4 linked regions of the Coturnix japonica genome follow. The protein of the gene in region 2 interacts with the protein of the main gene of each other region in a biochemical or structural test. Links are inferred from orthologs where the notes say so. Each region holds a gene or a part of one and is shown on either strand. Other genes may lie near its edges. The genes, in order: MAP1LC3A, NBR1, GABARAPL2 and MAP1LC3C.

Region 1 (4,340 bases), on a different chromosome or scaffold from region 2:
CACTGCCCTCTCAGTGAAAATCTTCCCCTTGACATCTAATCTGAATCTTCCCTCTAGTTTAAAGCTGTTTCCCCTCGTTCTATCACCATCTACATGTGTAAAAAGTTGATTTTCCTCCTGTTTATAATCTCCCTTTAAACATTGCAAGGCTGCAATGAGGTCTCCCCGCAGCTTTCCCTCCTTCAGGCAGAACACTCCCAGCTCCCTCAGCCAGACTCCATAGCAGAGATGCTCCAGCCCTCTGAGCACCTTTGTGTCCTCCTCTGGACCTCCTGCAGCAGCTCCACGTCCTTCCTGTGCCAGCAGCCCCAGGGCTGGATGCAAAACCAAGGTGGGGTCTCACAGGAGCTGATCACAGGGGGACAATCCCCTTCCTCACCCTGCTGCCACCTGGTGAAGGCCACTCTTCAGTTCTATGTGCTGCTCTTACCGACTGCTGCCTTTTCCACATGAGAAGTGCACTGCCAGAACTGAAGGCACAGAAAACTGCACCTGGGATGGGAGCATCCAGCCCAAAGATGCACCTTTCACAGGAAGCAGCGCAGGGTCAGCAGGTTGCACACATGGCTGCAGCCAGGACAGCCTGCTCCTCTGACACAGAGCACAGCTTCACTCTGGGAATTGGTCTGGACTCCTACCATGGATCTGACTAAGCAGAACGCAGCTCCCTCAGCATTCACAGGCAGGTTTGCACGTGGCAGCTGAGGGGCTCCATCAGATCTCACCCCCAGCCCAAAGATACAGCCACAGCCACAGCGGGGAGCACAACCCCAGCAGAGCCCCCTCTGATGTGCATCAGACACCAGGGGGACGCCGCATGCCCCAGCGTTGGACTTAAGTCCTCAACAGCATCACACTGAGCTCCATAAAATGTATTCAGAACAGACCTGAGACAAAGCAGATGGGCAAACAGAAGAAACCCCATAGAAAAACAAACCTCAACACTACAAGAAGGGGGAAAATGGGCACAAAGCACAGCAGAGCGTCAGCACGGGGCAGCGGGCCAAGGCCTCACCGAGCCACGTGCCGTGACACCGGAGCCTTGGGCGGCTCTTGTAAACAGCCACACTCTGACTCTGCCTGTTCTGTTCTTTTGGAGCCGTTCCACTTCTCTCCAGCTCTGCGGCCTTACAAACAGCGCCGTTCTGAGGGTGCAGTGTCACTGGAAATATTTTCCATCGTCCGTCTCCAGCGGCACTGTCAACAATCGCTTCCTGCTCCCGTTGTGCAACGAGCTGAAGACGAAAACAAGCGCTGTTTACTTTCTCCAGCGGAGCGATCCCAGCCCCGACCCAAAGCAGCCGAGCGGGCGCCGGGCCGCCTCCTCTTCCTCCTCGTCCCGCTGAGCTCTGCACATCAGCCGGGAGCCAAAGGGCACAGGACGGCGCAGACACCCGCGGTCACACAGCACCCGACTCCGTCTCCCCCCCTTTCCCTCCTGCGCTATTTCAGTCCCGCTCTCCTTCGGTCACTCCGAGCCTCGACTTTTGTTTTCCTCCAGCCTGAGCAACGTGCAAAGGCAAAGCCGGCTCCTCCCGCCCGCGATGCCGGCTGCCACGGCGGAGCAGCGGGCAGAGATACGGGCGGCACTCGGGATTCTGCTGCTTTTAATAGAAAACTCCAGCCAAGCGCCGTGTGGCCGCGGGGTTCGGCCGGCAAAGGTCAGGGGGAGCAGCAGCTGCCGCTCTGCCGGGCAAGGCACGACGCGGCGCCCCGTGCGGTAACACTGACCCGTACGGTAACATCGCCCCGTGCGGTAACACTGCCCCGTACGGTAACACTGCCCGTACGGTAACACTGCCCCGTACGGTAACACTGCCCCGTACGGTAACACTGCCCCGTACGGTAACACTGCCCCGTACGGTAACACTGACCCGTACGGTAACACTGACCCGTACGGTAACACTGCCCCGTACGGTAACACTGCCCGTACGGTAACACTGCCCCGTACGGTAACATTGCCCCGTACGGTAACACCGACCCGTACGGTCACATCGCCCCGTACGGTCACATCGCCCCGTACGGTCACATCGCCCACCGCCCACATTCAGCACAACGATGTTTCCACGCGAGCGCGGAACCCGCCGGGCCCGGCAGCACAGGGTGCGGAGCGCGGGGTCCTCGGCACAGCGACCCCCAGCCGGGCGGGGGCACCGGGCGGTGCGCGAAGGTTCGGCCGCCCACCCGCAGCCGAAGGGGCTCAGCCCGCCGCCACAGCGGGGCGAAGGGGTCGCGGCTCCGGGCGGTGCCACAATAAGAAACGGGGGGTGGGGGGGGACCGCCGCGCTACGCGGGTGCGTTCGGGCTGCGGGAGGAGGACAAGGAGCCCGAGGGCCGCCGGTACAACCCGGTACAGCCCCGTACAGCCCGGTACAGCCCGGTACAGCCCCGTACAGCCCGGTACAGCCCGGTACAGCCCCGTACAGCCCGGCACAGCCCGGTACAGCTCCGTACAGCCCCGCACAGCTCCGTACAGCTCCGTACAGCTCCGCACAGCCCCGTACAGCTCCGTACAGCCCCGTACAGCCCCGCACAGCCCCGTACAGCCCCGCACAGCCCGGTATAGCCCGGCCGGAGGGCACCGCCCGCCCCGCGGCACCGCGCGGCCCCATCCTCGCCCCCCGATCGCTGCGCACGCAGCTCCCGCGCACATCGCCCCGCCGTCCGCTCACCGAAGGTGCGGCGCTGCTTGAAGGGCCGTTCCGAGGGCATGGCGGTGGTGTTGGCGGCGGCGGCGGCGGCCGGGCCGGGTCGCAGGTGCCGGCGGCGGCTCCGTGTGGCGGCTGCGGCGGAGCGGGCGGTGACGTCACCGGGGCGGGCGGAGGGCCGTGACGTGTCACGTGACGTGTCCGTGGGGCGGTGCCGCCCGGTGCGATGAGCGCCGAGTCATCGATCCCGTTTTCAATCGCGGCCTTTCGGGCCCCGCTCACACCCCAAGAGCCGCTTTCCCCTCCCGCAGCACATCGCTGAGCGCTGCTCCGTGCGCACCTGAGCCGCTCCCCCAGCCCGGGCTGCCCAGGGCCGGGGCCGCACCGCCTGCGGGTGTAGGATTCCCTCCGCTCATCCGACCTGAATCTTCCCTGTTCTAGTTAAAGCCGCCCCCGTCCCCCGCTCTGCCCATGTACTCAGTCCCCGTCCCCTCCTCTTACTGCCCCGCACGCCCCGGAGCAGCCCGTCTCCCCCCGCTGCACACACAGCCCGCATACCTTGCAGAGCAAATCACGGCTACAAATAGAGCGGGCTATTTCTAGAGCCGTGAACGAATCAAACCCAGCTGCAAACGGTGACGGTGTTTTGCAGAGAGCCACACTGCATGTCCCCGTGAAGGCACGCTGCAATGAGCGCTGTGCTCCAAAACAACCCCCCATGGTGGGCAGACATTGAGTACATCCCTGCTTCAAAGGGACAGAAAGGCTCCCACTGCATCTTTTAAAAGTGCTCTGATGATCAAAAGGGTCCTGGCCATCCAAAAATGCAGAAGGGAAAGAAGTTGCGGTACTGACTGAGATAAGGCAGATGGACTGACATTGCAGACTGCAGGCTCACTGAATTTGTTACTGTTGTTAAGCACTAACCCACTTTTGACGAGGAACAGGTAGACAGACCAACCCAGCAGCAGCAAGCAGCCCTATAGCAACCCACGATCAACAGCCAGCTTTACAATGCCAGCATTCCAGCAGGGTGAGCACTGCTGGTAATGAGCACCCTGCATGTTTGTGACAGCTTGGAGCCTCCCCGAGGAATGCTGTTGTGCTGCTGAAGTAGTGTATTACTGTCAACACAGACCTGATGACGCTCAGACTCCTGCAGTGTTGGTGCTGTCAGAGCTCAGTGCCCTGCAGCCCCCGCACACCACAGCTCTGCATGCAGCCTGTGCAGGTCGGGGCACTCTGCTAACACACAGCCAGCTTGGCCTGCTGTAGGCCTTGCTTTCATTCCCTACAGACATAGCAATGCACAGCAAAAGCTTTAAGACAAGGTAAATAAAGCTCCTGTGTGTGAAAGGAGTGCTGCTCAGCCATCTCAGGCAGACAAATAGCTGCTGCCCATAGCAGCTGAAAGACGTGTCTGAAGATGAACAGATGTTTCCACAAGTCTATCTTTTGCGATCTCTTAAGTGCTGTCACCTCCATTCCTCTGCCACGGCCTTATCTCAGCTGGACAAAGAGATCTTGGGCTACAAGTGCTGCTGCTTGCAGCCCTGAGCCATACTTCAAACCCCCCTCATCAGCCTCTTAATGCATCAGGGTTTGTTTGCTCTGACTTCGCAGCAGGTGTTTCCTTTGCCTTCAGAAAGGGATCAATTTCTCAAAGACAGAAAGTGAGGCCATTCTCCAGTT
Region 2 (3,562 bases):
ATTCTAGTTTTGTTAATTTACAGAACATATTAAAATCTTAAGTATGAAGGTATACACAGAAAGAGCAAGTGTGCTGCTGGGCATTACAGATCAAAACAAACAACCAGATTAATAACTTCACCAGCTATTGCACTTATCCATGTCCCCTCCTCCTCATCATATTGTATAGTAAGCATAAGCTGAAAGATATTCAGATCAGTATGTGTAAGTTATAGTGGGGGGAAAAAAACCATAATTTCAAGTTACAGAAAAGTCTTTATCTGGTCCACAGTAGGCAGCTGTACTGGGGTACAGACAGATGGGAAACACTGCAAAATAGTCCTACTGTATTTCAAAATAAGCATTTAAGAGTTTGCCTTCCACAATCTATAAAAATATGTTTAAAACAGAAGAAGTATGATACATATTTCTCTTCAATTATTTTAATGGTATTTTATCATGGAGAGTATTAGGTCTTTAAAAAACTAATACTGATCATCTGATCAATCAGAATACTCACAGCTGCTTCAGCTACGTTGTGTCAAAATAGAAACACCTTATTTTGAAGCAGCAATAGTATTTGTATTTCAGGATCAGTGGTCTCCCACTGCGGCAACTTAGAAAGCTTACTCGAAAGAAAGAATGTAGCCAACATTGCTGTCACTTTCAGAGGACTGACCTGTGAGCAGTTATCTACAGATACACCACTGCACAGCAGTGTATGTTACTGGTTGCTTGCGATTCTTCAGAATCAAATCACCTCTCAGGATGTTTGGGAGCTTAAACACTGAAATAAGTATGTGTACGTAAAGAAAAACTGTGAGAGAAAGTGAGTTCTACAGATGTGTTTACAGAAACACAGAAGCAGCCAGAAACGTTGCCAGAGACTATACATATAACACTGCTCAAGTTACTATATTTTTCAAAATGAAGTATGTTGTAAAACCCCTGCCTTGGGGGGGTAGGGGGGTATTTGGGTTTGTTTCCCAAATACTACCAGAATTCATACTCCAGTTCAAGTCTGGCTTTGTACGCATGAAAACTCTTAATGTAGTATTAAGATGTCTGGACAACACAAAAAACACAGGGGTTGAGTTTTTACACTCCCCCCCCATCCCCCCCAAAGAACCTTTTCAAAGGTTCTTAGGAAGGTTTTTCCTACAGTACAACTCCATTTTTAACAAAATATTTTATGTAGACTATATTTTTTGTTAGATATAAGTTTACTGTTATAATTACTACTAATGGTTACAGTTAATAGCAGCTGGTAAATTAACTCTTATGCTTTATTCTGCTTCAAGAAACAGTGATTTTCCTGGTATACATCCGTTCAAATCAACTTCAGGCTTTTCAGAAGTCATTTGATGGTTCAAGACTAATTTTAATATATGAGCAACATCGCCTTCTCCCCCAGCCCCCCAACACCCCCGAGAATTATTTGTAAGGTTTAATTCTGTTACATTACTATCAAGAACTGGACAAAAACCGATAACTGTATCATGTCAGAAGAAAGAGTTTCCAAGTAGCTGGTATCTCTTATAAATTAGACAAGACTATATTTTACAGAAGCATTTTAAACTTTGTAATAGGAAGCAATGTGTTAGAAGTCAACAAAACAAAAGCTCCCAGCTGCCTAGAAGTATTTTACATACAGTAAAAGGAGAAGTGTGCAGGCTAAAGTCACTCTATAACATTTCCAGGTAAAAAGGAATCAGCATAAAGTTACCAACCTCAATACATCTAATTTCAGCAAAAGTAAAGTTGAAATTCTGGTGTCCAATTTGTAAAATGTTGTGACAAGCATTGTTTGACATTTCCATGAGAGGAAAAAGACAAAAGCTTGAGGAAAGGACAAAGTTTTATCTATATCTCCAAAGTAGCTGAAGGTCAGTCTGCTAATGCTGTAGTGTTTAATGAGAATTTGCTCAACTAAGGAGATTCATCCCTCCACCAGGAAGGCTCAGCATCTATTGCTGTACCAGTCACCATTACTGATTTGAAGCAATTCAGTTACCACTTGAACCATATTATTGTTGTGTTTCTTCAGCAGTCGCAGGTTTAACTGCCTGTCACAGAATCCCATCTCACACAGACTGGATAGAAGAGCAGCAGTGTGCTCTTCTGTAGCTGCAGGCTGATAGAAACAAAACAAGAGAGACAAGAAGACTTATTTTTGCCATCTCAACAGCAGTCCTGCATTATACTGGAATGCAGTGATGACACTGAAGCCCTCTGTCCACAAGGAAGCAATATGCACTTATTTTCATTGGTCACTTGTACATTTGAATTACTTCTCTTGCATTATGCTCAGAGACTTGCTTCTATTTCCACAGCACAGACTTCTCTATCAGCTGTGGAAGTGCCATGCTTCCAAGAGATGCCACCAAGTTTAACATTTTACTGTTGCAGCAGTGTGTTGTGAAACATCAATACAGACAATGTATGTTTTATTAAGGTACCAACAGTTATAATGTTAACGTTGAACTTCTGTAAAACTCATACAGAACATGGGAAAAAGACACTTACCTGTTCTGTAATGGGCGGTCCAGCAAATAATGCTTTGTAGGCAGAGGCAGCAACTGACAGAGCTCCTTTAACTAGATCTCCTGCAATACTGCCTCCTTGTGGGTGTCTGCAGAAAGGTTAGGTATTACATTTGGGTCAGCAAAAGCCGTATTTCTTTCACCTAAAAGGCAAATCCTTCCCCACTAATGGCTCAACTGAGACTTAATTCTTACTGGAGAGAATAACTCATTATCCAAAAGAATCACTGCTACTCAGGAATCAAGCGTTCCATGCCTTCTGCTAATTTGTATGTACTTTAAGTGCTAACATACATTAGCTTACTGTACGTAAAATGAAAGTTTGAAAAGATTGAATAGCCTACGTACATAGAAGCTGTGACATATGCATCCAGACCAGAGTAACTTCTGTCTGGTTTCCACTGATTCTTAGTCACTTAGTCTTCAAAGAAAGGCCATGGAACAAACAGAATTTGCAAAGCTGCAGCTTCTGTTTCATTACCTTGCATATTCAGAGCCCTTCCGGATACTAGTTAGAAATACAGAAGATTCTGGTTCACGCCTCTCTTCACCACTAGGTTCTGGAAGAAGAAGGAAATACCCCATATGAACACATAAAGTTAACTAAAAGCTGAAGAGATTCAACACACACATAAATGTAAAGTGAGATTCAGTCTAAATTACTACTTTCAAGCTTGGTGACCCAGATGCAAACTAGGCATGCAAGATTCTCACTACAGTTAATATAAATCAAAATAATTCTAGGAGTCATTTAGCTGAAAAGTCAGTGGGTATCTGCCTCACCACAATATGAACTGCTGTCTGAGCTCCAAATAGCTGTAACAATGGCTTGAGCATACAGCACTAATCCCAGAGCAAGATAAACTTCTACATGTATAAAGGCACTCCTGAGTGCTCTTCTAACATTTCTAATCAATAAACACTACTCTCACCTGATTCACAAAGCTGATTACTGTTATATTCAAGACTTCTGTATGATAAAATTTTAAACACCCCCAGAGAAACAGATTAGTATTACTTGGGTAGGTTTCTGTTCCCCT
Region 3 (4,295 bases), on a different chromosome or scaffold from region 2:
GATAGGCTTGTGGCCCTTTACAATCTAAGTAGTCTTTTGTGGGATGACTGTATTTTGAAAACAGAACGAAAGCCAAGCAATTACTTGGCCAGCCTAACTCCTTTAGCTGTCTGTGAATGACAGATGAAACAGTGACTGATGTGAGTCAACTGCCTAAAGATGCTTCAGATCATCTTTTCTAACTGCCCAAGAGTGCCTGAGAAAAGGCCAGAGAACTGAAAGGCACAGACTGAATGTGGGTGATAGGAAAACCATCATGGCTTTTTCCCTGTGAGAAAACGGGTAGTGTGTTAAGTTAAAGGAGTTGGGGAGAGTTGCAGGCAGCACTTGAAATTGATGGCAATTAACAAATAGTAGATAACCTTCTGAATGAGAAGGAAGTGAAGAATTTGTGGTCTAAAGGGGTAGAACTGTTGGCCAGCTACATTTTTACCTAATAACAAAAGTTACTATTTTTGCATCAGCTTGAAGGTTCAGAGCCTTGGACTTCCAGCAGAGATGTGAGATACCATAGTTGTGTGAGATGATACAACGTGCCCTTATTTCTTTGCCTTTCCTGTTTGTTCCTAGCAGTTCTACAGTACTGAGAAAGTGGGACTAAGGCATTTCTACTACTCCTAGAAGAAATAAAGTAGGAAAAGGTGGTCCTTGCCACTCCCGTGATTCCCATAAGTGTCATGAATGAAATACAAATCTTTCTTGCTGGGTCTGGACAGGTTATTTGGAGGTGCTGTTACACAGGCAAGTGTTGACAAGAATAACACTGCCTCCAAACCAAGTAACACTACATTCTGTTTTCTCAGAGATTATTCAAATAGATCGTATAGGGAGCTGCTGCAGTAGCTGCTAGTGCTGCATTTTGTAATGTACGTAGCAGACAACCACTGATGCTGACTCCGTTCTACAGAGAAGTTTTTTCACATTACTTCTAGTTGTTTTGCATTTAGTATTTACAGGAAAAAGTTATTTTAAAAAAACCCACAACAACAACAACAAAAACCATTAATGTGAGCTGACAGAATTAGGTTCATGTTTTTTTAAATAATTTATAGTGCTTGCTTTTGTATGTTTAACATGCAACTTTTTTTTGCCACATGGAGAAGTTATCTGATATTTCTGATGTCATAACTCTAGTTTACCTTCTTGCAATGTAAATAATCGAAAATGTGTTACCAATATGTATGACCAAAAAAGTCCAAATCGCAGGGAGATGAAAATGCAACCAAACGCCTTCTATAAGTGCTGCCTAATCCTCAGAAGGGTTTTTTTTTTTTGTTCCTCTGATATGTACAGCCACGCTAAAATGGTTCTGAATACCAGTTGAACAGCCACTTACCTGGACTGTGGGACAGTCTTGTCTACAAAGAGGAATATTGCTTTCTCAGAGGGCAACTGAATCCTCTTCCTGATGATCCACATAAACTGGGCCACGGTGATGTCAGATGGAACTAAGTATTTCCTCTTATCAATATCAACAATCTGAGATCCTGATACCTTCTCCACTATAACCTGTAAAGCACATGTGAAAGTGAGGCTTTTCAGGACTGGTAGAAACAGACAGCTTTTGATAGTGAGAGATAGGACTCAGTACTGTACAACCTGATTTTACAACTGCACTGAAACCTACATTCATATATACAATGGCACAAATTTTCCTGTGCCTGTGCACCTCTCTTAGCCCTCATTTAAGGGCTGGCTGACACTCTGGAAAGCTCTTCCCTGTGAACCCAGGTGAACCTAATCACCTCCCTCATCGAGCTAGGAAGGACTGTCAAGGTGTAAAGAACTTATTCTTTAAGTTTCCTGGAATCATGCACAGAATGTACCTTCAGGATACTGAACGTACAAAGCCTTTGCTCTTAAAAGAAAGTGGGACATAGAGAAAACATAGATGTGGTAAGTGTTCAGAAAGTCAGGCACATTCACTTATTTGACAGTGCGCATTAGGGCAGAGGAAGGAATGCTGGGCTAGTTACGTGTCTTTGGGCCTTCTTTAAAACATCAAACGATGCAAAAGGGAAAATGAATGTACTTGGTGGGTTCTGGTCAAAGCACAGCGGGCAGGATGCAGGCAGCTCATCCACCGCTGCCTCTTCAGTTCTGGATGAAGCCGGCCTGGTTACTCACCGGGACACGGTCAGGGTACTTGGCGCGGATCTTTGCTGACTCCACACATCTGTGCTCTGTGAACAAAACTTGCGGTTAGTCACGGTACAGTAACGGTACAGAACGGTAACGGTAACGGTACGGTAACAGTATGGTATGGTAACAGTACGGTACGGTAACAGTACGGTACGGTACGGAACGGTAACGGAACGGAACGGTATGGTAACGGTACGGTAACAGTAACGGTACGGTCAGGGCCCTGCGCAGAGCGAGCAGCCCCGCACGCACCGCAGCCGCCCCGCACCCCGTGACGCGGCCCCGGCCCGGTGTTCGCATTCTCATTCTCGTTCTCATTCTCGTTCTCATTCTCTCATTCCCCGCTGCCGCGCCGCCCTGCGTCCAGACCCGCGGGGCCGCCCGCCCAGCAGCACGACGGGGAGCCCGGGGCGGACGGCGACACGGGACACGGGACACGGGAGGCCGCCGTCGGGCAGCGCCGGGCCCGCCCTTACCCAGCGCGTGGTCTTCTTTGAACATCCACTTCATGGCGCGGGCTGGGCGGGAAGCGGAGCCGGCGGCGGGGCCCGGGTAGGCCGAGAACGGAACCGGGCCGAGGCGGCCGACACGGACCCTGTCACAACAAAATCAGCCCCGGCTCGGCAGGCGGGACTTCCGGTTCGGTGCTTCCTTAGCAACCACCGGAACGCGGCGCTTCCGGGTCGCGGTGAGCGGGGTCACGTGGGGGAAACGAGGCTGCGGAGCCCGCCGTTCGGTCCCGTTGCCGCCGGTCCCTTTGCTGCCGGTCCCGTTACCGGCGGTCTCGTTGCCGTAGCGCCCGCCGTGGTTCCCTTGGTGCTGCGCTCCCCGGGCGCTCCCCGCTTCACTGCAGCCGCGTGTCCCGGATCGCGCTCCCCGCTGCTCGGCGGCCGCCGCTCCCGTTGCGGCGCTCGGTGCAGCCCGGCTCCGGTCCGTCGTTGCGCTCCGCAGCCGCGTGCTGGGGATGGCGGCGCTGGAGCTGTTCTCGCACCCCGCGCTGCACACGCGGTACCGGGCCGGGCTGTGCTCCGCCGCCGCGCTGGCGCTGCTGCTGCTGGCCGCGCTCACCTACGTGCCGCCGCTGCTGGTGGCTTACCGGAGCCACGGTGAGCGGCGGGCAGCCCCCAGCCCCGCGGGGCCGCGCCCGGCGTCGCGCCGTGACGTCGCGCCGTGTTTGCCCGCAGGTTTCTGGCTGAAGCAGAGCTCGTACCGAGAGCAGCCCGCGGTCCGCTTCCAGTACCAGCTGCTGTTCGTGGCCACCACCGGGCCGGGCCCGGGCAGCTTCCTGGCGTGGAGCACGTTCCCGGCGTTCAACCGGCTCCAGGAGGACCGGCTGCGCGTCCCGCTGCTGTTGGTAGGCGGCTGCGGGCAGCGGGTCGGGGAGCTCCCTTGGCTTCGGCTGTCGGTGCACTGACTTACAGGAACACGCTGCTCGTTCTCACGAAGCTTTTTGCTGACTTTTCTTTCCCGTGGGTTTTTGTGGTTTTGTTTTTGTTTTTTTTTTTCCCCGTAATTTTTCTTCCTTCCCCGTCCCGGTCCCGCTCTGTGAGGCTTGTTACACTGCAGCTTGCAGGGCTTTGTGGGCAGCCCCCTGCTTTGCAATGCAGGTACGTGCTTTCAAAGCATGCCGTCTCTCCCCTGCAGCTATTGTTCTTTGCGGGATCCAGCAGCGGTAGTTATTTCCTCTGAGCGCTCTGTGGTGCCTCGTGGTGGTTGTGAATTGCTGCGGTGCTGGCCTTGAGCGGTACGGAAGCGCTGGGAGCCGCGGCTTCCCACCAGGAGCTGGACATGGTGCAAAGAAGCGCTCAGGGCCGAGCTCAGCATTGCCAGGGATGTAGCAGAAGGTCCAGCGTTAAGATACAGACTGTAGGATGCAGGGAACATGTTTGGAATGGCACGGGACAAAAGTGCTCTTGGAGAGTCTTTTTCCCTTCCTGTGGAGTACGTGGATTGTTGTAACATACAGAACTAAGGCTTCTCTCTCTAACCTCATGTTTTTAAAGCCAAGCAGCTTTTTATTCTATTTCTAACTGTGCTGTTTCTTTGCTTTCTTTGTATGTGCGTGTTGCAGTTAGGGAAATCTGCACTTTTAACTTTCTTTCCTCTTAACAGGAACCCTTCTATTAAACTAACTAAACAAAAGTCTGATCGCT
Region 4 (3,581 bases), on a different chromosome or scaffold from region 2:
GCACTTCAGCTTGAACCTCCTGTCAAGAGTTTCTTCCAATTCATTTTCAGGAAGCTTGTACAATAAATGTATCAGCATGTCACTACATGATAGTTTTGACATTTTCCAGATACGCTGACATACCTCTGTAAGGTACAGCACAAACACCCACACTTGAGGCAAGGCTCACTGAAGTCCCTCAGCAGAAGAGCTGTGCAGGTGCCTGTAGGTGAAAGGGATGACCAGCTTGCCTACAGACCAGACTAGCAGAATTCAATAGAAAGAGCAGAACACTGACCCCTATTCTAGCACTGATGCAACCCTGCTACTCAGGTACTTCAATGAATGAACTGTTTGTAGGTATGAGCCTACTGCTGCATGAGCAGGCTTGAGTTTTGTTATCTCATTGTGAAATTGAATGAGTGGCTGTGCAAGCAACACTCCACTCCAGAAGCCTGGAGCCAGAATCATTCTAGGACCTTTTCCCAGGAAGTCTCTCCCCAAATTAAAACTGACATTCAACCTAGTACTTAAAAGCTTCTTTATTTTATTCTTAAGCAACACCTTAAAAAGCAGTTACATCACAAGATCGGTATTGCAAAAAGTGGAGGTGCAGTTCCAAAACAACAACAACAAAAAAGAAACCCCACAGTGCCTTCCAAGTATAAAAATATACATCTAAATTATCATCCATGGAAAAGTGTACCACCATCTCTGCCTTGAGCCGGTCCTGCCAGCTTTTGGATCATAACTCCGCAGTACAGAGCTCAAGAGCTCATACTGGAGGGAGCATCTCCGAGTCTCATGTCACATGCATGATTCACAGCACAGTGGCTTAGCTGCAGCATATAGACCCCAGCATTAGGTTTTATGGTGGCATTCCATAGTTTTCCCTAAGGTGAGTGAGCAGCATCCGAACATCTCCTGGGAAGCATATGTCATGTACACGAAGCCATCTTCATCCTTGTAGTCCCTGTACACCTCTGCCATGGTCAAAGACATACTCGCTAAGCTCTTGTTGTTCACCAGCAGGTAGAAAGCTTGTGTAGCAGTCAGAGCCATCCTGCTTCTGAATGAAGAGGGAAAAGGAAACAAAGGACCAAGCATTAGCAAATTTAAGGTTTCAACCTTAGTCTATAAAATACATTAAGCAGAATAGTTGCAGCATTTCTTGTACATAGTTTATGCACGAAGACGTTGCTTAGTTTAATATTTCCATCAGAAAGTTAACTGTACTCAGAAACAGGAAGCTTGCTCCAGGGAAAGGCTTAAGCTGCAGGACTGTAGCTGCTACCAAGCCTGAGCCTGGGGCTGCCCATTCCCAAGAAGTGCTGAGTGTAGCTACAATAGGGAATTTCAGCACAGCCTGTTAAACTTAAGGCCTGCCCACCTTCAGAGGAGTCTCACTCAGAGACTTTACACATGAAGACTGGCTGACAAAAGTATCTTCTACATAAGTTAATAACTGGAAACATGGCTTCCACGCACTTTTTGTCACTGACAAAAAATTGCCTTACAATTCCCCAGCACCCCTGCACAGAACGCCCCCCTTTAGGAGACCTCTTTGCCAGTGTATTTGTAAAGAACACCCGGGATGGAGCTGCCACAGGTTTGGGCAACCTGTAAGTGCAACAGGAGCAGCAGGGCAGCAGCAGTTGGATGCAGAGCACAGCCCAGAACCAGGCAGAACGGGAGCAGAGCAGCAGCCTCGCGCCGCCTTTATCCGCCAGTGAGGGGGAAGAGGGACCTCGGGAGCCCCGAGCTCTTCCCTATCAGCTCCCGCTGGGGGAGGCCGCCCCAGGCCCCTCTCACGCGGTAGTGCGCGGCCCTTACCTGATGATGGTGATGAACTGCGTCATGGTCAGCTCCTCGGGGACGAGAAACTTAGTTTTGTCCAACAGGGGAAGGTATTTCTCCTTCTGGTACCTCTCAACGATTACCTGTTTTTAATTAGAGTCACTTAGAAGCCCCAGCGACGTTCCGTTCCCCTCCTTCCAAAATACTCAAGGCAGAAGCCGGGAGCCCCCGCCCGCGGAGCAGCGAATTACCGGGATCTTTGTGGGGAACTTGGCCCTGATGCCGGCCACCTCCTCCCGCCGGGTGGCTGCGCGGGAGAGAGCACAAGCGTTACGTTGTAACGTAGAGAGAGAGAGCACCGTACCGTCCCATCCCCATAACCATACCCAGACTCTTGCGCAGCTTGAAGGGCCGCACCGGCTGCACCCCGGGACCCGCCTGCATCCCGCCGCCTGAGGCCGCCGCCCCGCGCCGCGCCTCTTATGGGCCGGTCCGGCACCGCCCCGAGGGGCGGCGTGTGGCGGGCGGGCTGCTTCGCATTTGGGAGTTGCCTTGGAAGTATCCATCCCAGCATCCATCCCAGCATCCATCCCAGCGCTGCCCAGCCTTGCTTTTGCTTCACGCACACTTCCATGCCAGACGCCGTTCTGTCAAACTGCCCCTCTGCTGCCATCTGTCACACAGCTACAACGTGTAACGAATATTAGGATTCAACCTCTGCTGCCATACCTCCAATGTCTGCCTCTGACATCGTGGGACAGCATCACATAGTATGAAGCATTACTTTCAGGGCAGCCCTCATAAAATACATAACATGGTTCATACATGAAAGTAATACAACTGTTTTTAGTATTTTATATTGAAACAAAACAAAAGAGAGCAACAGCACCATAATTCTGATGAGATATGTGACCTTGTTTGTGAGAAAGTGGCTTATCAGTGTCTGGTTTGCTGGCAGTGGCTGCAGTTCTTATGAGCTCCGAAGGCATTTGTCACATTGTTGACAAAATGTACTCCTCCTGTGCTTTATCCTTGACAAAAGTTGTTCACAAGTGTACGTACTGCCTGACGGCCATCTCAGGAATAAGGTGTGACTGTGAAGCAAGGGATGTTTCTCCCTGGTAAGGGGGTTTATAAAAGTCTGGTGAAGAGCAAGTCCAGCCTGGGAGTGAGATTATATAGTGTCCTGGTCCCGTGACTTATCCCTGACCATGATGTCCTCTGGGATATGTAGTCTTCTTCTGTGAGCTGAACATTCAGTAAAATTATCCATACTTTACATGATGTTATGATGTGGAATACTGATAGCAAAATTACAAAACCATGACACCATCACAGCACAGCTCACCAAATGGCACAACGAACTGAAGTATGTAGAGAGGACAGGGTGTGTTGCTCTGAGGAGCTGCTGAGCCTCAGACTTGGGAGGGGAGCTGTGGCCAGTTTTGGTGCTGTCAACACGGCCCCTAAGGGACCCATCCCCAAGGTAAGCCTCCCCAGCTGTGCAGGAGAGCTCCAGGGCTCCTATCAGAGATGCATGTGGAACACCTGGACTTGGTTCCACACAACCACCAGCACCTTGTTTCCAGAGGGATGTTAGCCTTCACAGGCAGCTGTTTGACAGAAAACTGAGCACCTGACAAGAGAGGGAGGGAGCTGAAGAACGGAACTTCAAGTGAAATTCTTGGCTGTGGCTCTAATTCCTACTGCAGCTAAAAGTGAGCACAGTTAGCAGATGCCCTGCGTTACATCATCTGGAGGCAGAGAGCAAGGGAGGTCATCTGTGTGTCTGCATAGCACCTGTG

The links.
Region 1: the proteins of NBR1 (region 2) and MAP1LC3A form a complex in vitro, tested with the Homo sapiens proteins (2 studies listed by BioGRID and IntAct). The link is inferred for Coturnix japonica from reciprocal best matches to the Homo sapiens genes NBR1 and MAP1LC3A.
Region 3: the proteins of NBR1 (region 2) and GABARAPL2 form a complex in vitro, tested with the Homo sapiens proteins (2 studies listed by IntAct). The link is inferred for Coturnix japonica from reciprocal best matches to the Homo sapiens genes NBR1 and GABARAPL2.
Region 4: the proteins of NBR1 (region 2) and MAP1LC3C form a complex in vitro, tested with the Homo sapiens proteins (2 studies listed by IntAct). The link is inferred for Coturnix japonica from reciprocal best matches to the Homo sapiens genes NBR1 and MAP1LC3C.

The regions. Positions count from the first base shown.
Region 1 is NC_029535.1:1,283,250-1,287,589, forward strand, and holds the start of MAP1LC3A (microtubule-associated proteins 1A/1B light chain 3A), read right to left. Parts: upstream 2,801-4,340; 5' UTR 2,713-2,800; coding exon 2,673-2,712; intron 1-2,672. UniProt on the Homo sapiens protein: Ubiquitin-like modifier involved in formation of autophagosomal vacuoles (autophagosomes). While LC3s are involved in elongation of the phagophore membrane, the GABARAP/GATE-16 subfamily is essential for a later stage in autophagosome maturation.
Region 2 is NC_029542.1:4,766,270-4,769,831, reverse strand, and holds part of NBR1 (next to BRCA1 gene 1 protein), read right to left. Parts: intron 3,083-3,562; coding exon 3,004-3,082; intron 2,612-3,003; coding exon 2,506-2,611; intron 2,114-2,505; coding exon 1,940-2,113; 3' UTR 1-1,939. UniProt on the Homo sapiens protein: Ubiquitin-binding autophagy adapter that participates in different processes including host defense or intracellular homeostasis.
Region 3 is NC_029526.1:17,778,782-17,783,076, forward strand, and holds the start of GABARAPL2 (gamma-aminobutyric acid receptor-associated protein-like 2), read right to left. Parts: upstream 2,815-4,295; 5' UTR 2,653-2,814; coding exon 2,619-2,652; intron 2,184-2,618; coding exon 2,128-2,183; intron 1,510-2,127; coding exon 1,337-1,509; intron 1-1,336. Other genes in the region: uncharacterized protein LOC107319444, read left to right, coding at 3,107-3,248, 3,327-3,496. UniProt on the Homo sapiens protein: Ubiquitin-like modifier involved in intra-Golgi traffic. Modulates intra-Golgi transport through coupling between NSF activity and SNAREs activation. It first stimulates the ATPase activity of NSF which in turn stimulates the association with GOSR1.
Region 4 is NC_029518.1:32,120,559-32,124,139, reverse strand, and holds MAP1LC3C (microtubule-associated proteins 1A/1B light chain 3C), read right to left. Parts: upstream 2,277-3,581; 5' UTR 2,221-2,276; coding exon 2,163-2,220; intron 2,084-2,162; coding exon 2,028-2,083; intron 1,920-2,027; coding exon 1,813-1,919; intron 1,049-1,812; coding exon 841-1,048; 3' UTR 504-840; downstream 1-503.